Kluyveromyces lactis: one gene and its partner. The protein of the gene in region 1 interacts with the protein of each later gene in a pairwise test. Links are inferred from orthologs where the notes say so. Each region holds a gene or a part of one and is shown on either strand. Other genes may lie near its edges.

Region 1 (2,957 bases):
GAACAAGTCTTAGCTGCTGGTCCGCAATTATAATCACAATGTCCTCAACAGAAGTGCTATACCAAAATAACGAAAAGAGGCAGAGTGAAATATTATTGAGTAATATTTTCTCTTCAACATAGTTTCACTTTTTCCGTTACCTTCAACCAGACTATCTCAACCGTAGCCGGTTCATTATTATTAATATAAAATTCTGAGATTCATAAAAAACCAACTAACAATAATACACATACCATTGGCTCGGATTATTTGATTCTTGCATTTAGAAACTATCTTTTTCTCGACTACATATATAACAAGAAAATTCTACAGATATCTTGGGGTTTTTCTCATTCGTTTTTCTATTACTTTCGTCCTTTTTAATTTATCACTAACAGCCTTTATCAATATGGTTATAGTACATACATACGCTTTAGTATCTTTTAATCTGGATATACTATTTATTTATGGGAGGAATTAAATCATTAATATCATCCTTAAGCGAAGAATAAAAGCAGGTTAAATAGATCTTTAATCTCATCCCATATATGCTGTGTTAACGTCTGTGTATAAACCTAGATGTGCTTGTACTCAAAGGTGGAGGCATTTTCGTAGTAGCATTGTTTGCAGTCAAAAAATCAGCATCGTCGTTATTTTCTGCAGGCTGATATATTGGCAAAGAGTGATTGTTACCATAACTCGTCCATGGGAAAAATGCGGTTCCGAACCAAAAGTGCTGCACGACTGGAAACTTATTTAAAACTTCTACCTTGTACATTTTAATCAAACCCTGTTGCATCTTGTGCCATGTATGAACACTCCTTGATATGTTGTAGAGTAGAGGAGAATGATTGGAAAATGGGCCCGATTTTACGACATTAATGAATCGTATTGATTTGCAAAATAGATTGCTAGAGCTGTTTTGTTCCATCAATCTAGTATTAGAAATATCCTTTGGTATTAAAGAAGTATTCACATCTAACAATTGAGTGGCTCCTAAAATGTATGAGAAATGAAAATGATCATCTAGCCCCCAAACGCCATGAGACCCAGCAGGTTCCAATTTATAGGTTAAGATTAGTTTCTGAATCACGTCGTAATATGAATTGAAACAATAAAGTAGCGCCGGCCCCTTTATTGTTTCAATTTTTAGCATATCCAAACAAATTATCACAGCTAAAAAGGACAATTCATGACCAGTTCCATAGTCAATTCTTTCCTTCGATCCAAATGCATTAGATATGTAATATGAAAGTTCTATGATGCTGTTGTTGTACTTTTCGGGCAATAACTCATGCAACCAATTCTCCAATTGGTTTTGAAACTTCGTTTGCCAATCTCTGTATGAAAGGTTTCCATATCTACTATGCATTCTCTCAGGAGGTGTCTCGTCTATCAAGGCAGACAGCCTTTTGAGTAGTTCCACTACGATATTAGTGAAAAAACTTTCTTTGATTGTATCTGGTATCTGCTGGCCCTTACAAAGCGTAATATACTTCTGCAAGTGATATTGTATTCTAACCATTGCGACTGAATTCTGGAAGTCAAGGGTACCCTGACTATCGAATATTCTTTTCTCTGGCATTGAGAACTTGGCGTTCTCATAATCAAAGTCCATCTCTTAGTTTCTTATCCCTTATTTATCACCGTTATATCATAACAACTCTCGATTTAATATTTGCAGCTTGAAATATGTGCGGGAGAATAATTAGAATGCAATATTTGATACGTCCTACAAGGAAGGTATTAGTTTTCAAGATCGCCTCCCCAAAAGTTACAAGAGAAACTGCTATTTCATATCCTTTCTTAGCATTTCAGTCTGTAGAATTCTAACTTTTTTTAAGCGTTCGCAGTACAGGCACTGAAATTGTGAAGTGATATGAAAACATATGATAAAAATAAAAAGCCAAAATAACCTTGAAAAACGATTATACTGCTATGTTTTCACACCAGAGAAAAGATTCCTAATACAAGTCACCAGTCACACATTTACTTTCTTTATCCGCGACACTAGCTTGTACCTGTGAAATAATTTTAACTTTTTGTATCACAGCTAATACTATTCTACTGAATTCACAGGACGAATATTTAATCCAACATCATTGAAATAACTATCAACTTAGCTTCAATCTCCGGTCGCAGACAAAGTATACTACAAGTGAGCCATTGAACATATTTAGACATGGAAGAACCTGGAAGAGGTATTTTGAATAAGAAACTAACTGATGATAAGCATCTGGCTGCGCCTCCAGCGTTTCCAACTATAAAGATAGAGGAACCAGAGCAAAGAGGTAGGTCCCGGAGTAAGACAAGAGATACCGGCATATCATCAAGCAGATCGATATCAAGGTCTGCGAGTCGAGTAAGTATAAAGGACCAAGCCTACCTGAAGTGGACAATATTGAATAAGGACCCTTCAGAAAGGTTACATTTGAAGGCCAAAAAAGGAAACACTAGAGATAGCGTATCTCCAGGACAAGAAAATGGTGGTGACGAGGATGAAGATGAAGATGAAGAGGAATTCATAGAAGATAGAGAAGACGATGGTGAGGTCAGTGAGGAGGAACAAGTGAGTGATGTAGAGAATGAAATAGAAATTGATGAACACATTGATTATGATTTAGGTTGTAAAGTTTTACCGAACTTTGTTACACCAATTACCCAAGTACTCGACTCTATGAAGCCATGGCTAGCGAAGAATGCTGAGATTAAAACAGAAGCAGACAAAAGAGATATCAAATTGGAAGAAATTCAACACGGAATACATAGAGCTGTCTATCATATGAGCAAAGGAGACAATATTACCGCCGCAACGAGCGAGAAAGGCCACTCGTTCGTTGTTTACTTGGATCAAATGGATGAATCTTTTGCTGAGAAAATATACGCCTTAGTTTACTCTTTCGGTTCTGTTTTCACTAATGGGGACACTTTGTACATCATAAACCAATGTGACGACGATACCAACGATATGCTATTTC
Region 2 (2,801 bases), on another chromosome or scaffold:
CAACAGGAGAAGATTGTTGAAGTTTTTAGTTCCATGTGGTATCATTATCAGCAAGTTGCCAGATTTCAACAAGTTATCTCAATGGGACCCTATCCTAGCACAGAAATACACAGCTCTTGTGATTGCCGTTAAAAACGGAAACTTGAACAGAGTAAACTTCTGGCTTTACGAGAACGAATCGTGGCTGAAATCATCTAAATTGTTGATTGTTCTATTGGAAAAGCTACCCATTATAACGTTCAGATCCCTTTTGCGATCTATTTTCCTATACTACTGTATACCGCGCAATTCAAATAAACTACCATACTCTGTGATAAGACCAATTCTAGCAAAATCCATCGGTTTATATCCACCTGAAATGCCATCGATATATAAAGACAATTACACCGCAGAATCACTTGAAAATATCCTTGTCACACTTTCAATTCAACAATTGTGGAAGGGAAATGTGTTTCCAAGCCTGCAAGTGTGCGTTACGATGAAGACTAACGATATCTCAGTAATCTTCCCTAATATCAATGAAAAGATCGTCTCTAGATTTTCGTTGAACCAGGAAGATTCCTGGCTCGATAAGTAAATGATAGATAATATACATATAGTATGTAAAAATAGATGACACAGCCCCTCCTAACCTGATTCGGGTCCCACTATCATACCCAGTCGTGAAACACTTTTGGAAGACTCAATTTTTACAGACATGTCTATATAGATATAAGAATGCTCTCACATATATCTGTTTGTCTTCCAGGTCACATTCTGCAAAAAAAAGTAAGAAATTGAAGAGAAGTTGAAATTTTGTTGAAGTTTCCATTATTTTTGTAAAAGGACTGATGATTACAACAGAAAACAAAGAGAGAAGGAAACATCCTTATAGCTAACTACTTTGTTAACAAGCTTTTAGCCATCAACAAAGAGTAGTGATATAGGGCTGTTCTTTGTTTGAGCTATTGAATTTTCCTATAGTGAGTGAGTGTTTCTTGTTGAAAAGAAAAGGTGCAAGAAATACTTCCAAACACAGGTTTTAAGCTTGTTGTGGTTTTTATTTACAAGAACGCTAATCATAATCACTTTACAAGAAATTCAGAAGGAATTTATCCCAATTTTTTCACAGGTAAGGACTGGGTTTTATTATAATTATTATTTTTTTTATTGACCTTTGAACTTTATCTTCCCTTGTAAAGGTTAATTTGCCATTGCATAAGTTCATCTATCTATAGAGCGTTTTGTCTCCGGAGTGCTAAAATATCACAATGTCAGATAATGGGCCAGATTTGTGGCTTGAGAAGATCAAGAAATGTCAGGCTTTGACGGAGTCTGAGATGAAACAGCTATGCGAGATGATGAAGGAACTCTTAATGGAAGAATCGAATATTCAGCCGGTTCAATCGCCGGTGACTGTTTGTGGTGATATTCACGGACAATTTCATGACCTTTTAGAACTATTCAGAACTGCTGGTGGGTTTCCTGATCAAGTAAACTATATTTTTCTTGGTGACTATGTAGATCGTGGTTATTACAGTTTGGAGACGTTCACACTTCTTATGTGTTTGAAAGTGAAATATCCTTCCAGAATTACTTTGGTTAGAGGAAATCATGAGTCGAGGCAAATTACACAAGTTTATGGGTTTTATGAGGAATGTTTAAATAAGTATGGTTCCACAACGGTTTGGAAGTATTGTTGTCAAGTGTTTGATTTCTTAACTTTGGCAGCTATTATTGACGGGAAAATTTTATGTGTGCATGGTGGTTTGTCTCCCGAGATTAGAATGCTTGATCAGATCAGAGTTCTATCGAGAGCCCAAGAAGTTCCTCATGAAGGTGGCTTCTCCGATTTGTTATGGAGTGACCCCGACAACGTGGAAGCATGGCAAGTCTCACCTCGTGGTGCCGGATGGTTGTTCGGTAGCAAAGTCTCACGAGAATTTAATCATGTGAATGGCCTAAGCCTAATCGCAAGAGCTCACCAGCTAGTTATGGAAGGATTCAAATACCATTTTCCGGAGAAGGATGTTGTAACGGTATGGTCTGCACCTAATTATTGTTATCGATGTGGTAATGTGGCGAGTGTCATGAAAGTCGAAGATGATTTAGATCCAACATTCAAAATTTTTTCCGCTGTACCTGACGATTACATCCAAGAAACAAACAATAATAACCAAAGAGGTGGATATTTCTTATAGAGCGACATTGCAGCGGCCTTTTTGTCTGTATAATCTTCTATGCGAACTTACATCGGACTAAACATTCTTTTTCTCCTTCTATTTGAGAATTCCTTCTTAATATACTGTACACTAGAAATCAAACATTTACCTAACTTTTACGAATTCAAAGATATCCATCAGGAATTAGGATTTAATTGGAAAGTGGACTATAAACAACGTAATTTTTAATGGGTTGAAATCATTACTGAGAAACCAACCCCCCTGAAACTTAAATAGTCTAAAACCCGGTAATATATATAGATATATGTATTAATGATAACGTTTAAACTGCCATTATGTCTTTCACGAGGCTTCACAGAGTCCTGATCTAATCCAAACTAGATCATCGAATATATTCAATTTGATATGGAATCATATATAGAATATCGTGTGTAGAATAGGTTTTTTTTTTTCTTACCAGTATCTCTTCAGCTCCAAAGCTGCATTGAAATATTTAAAATTTCAAGAGCATTTTATACAAAAAATGTAGCCATATGATTGCACTTATAACTTTCATAAATGATGTGATACCAACAAAACGCAGCATTTTGGTTACTCACATCGGGAATAAACGGTTTAACAATAACAAGGATTGCTAAT

What was found.
Region 2: the proteins of RRD1 (region 1) and SIT4 interact in binary tests that used the Saccharomyces cerevisiae proteins (3 or more experiments, as listed by UniProt). The link is inferred for Kluyveromyces lactis from reciprocal best matches to the Saccharomyces cerevisiae genes RRD1 and SIT4.

Annotation. Positions count from the first base shown.
Region 1 is NC_006037.1:37,406-40,362, reverse strand, and holds RRD1 (peptidylprolyl isomerase RRD1), read right to left. Parts: upstream 1,598-2,957; coding exon 536-1,597; downstream 1-535. Other genes in the region: phosphoenolpyruvate carboxykinase PCK1, read left to right, coding at 1-33; IMP21 (Imp21p), read left to right, coding at 2,162-2,957. UniProt on the Saccharomyces cerevisiae protein: PPIases accelerate the folding of proteins. It catalyzes the cis-trans isomerization of proline imidic peptide bonds in oligopeptides.
Region 2 is NC_006040.1:313,622-316,422, reverse strand, and holds SIT4 (type 2A-related serine/threonine-protein phosphatase SIT4), read left to right. Parts: upstream 1-1,250; coding exon 1,251-2,180; downstream 2,181-2,801. Other genes in the region: THP1 (Thp1p), read left to right, coding at 1-577. UniProt on the Saccharomyces cerevisiae protein: Involved in the dephosphorylation of the large subunit of RNA polymerase II. Is required in late G1 for normal G1 cyclin expression, bud initiation and expression of certain genes that are periodically expressed during late G1.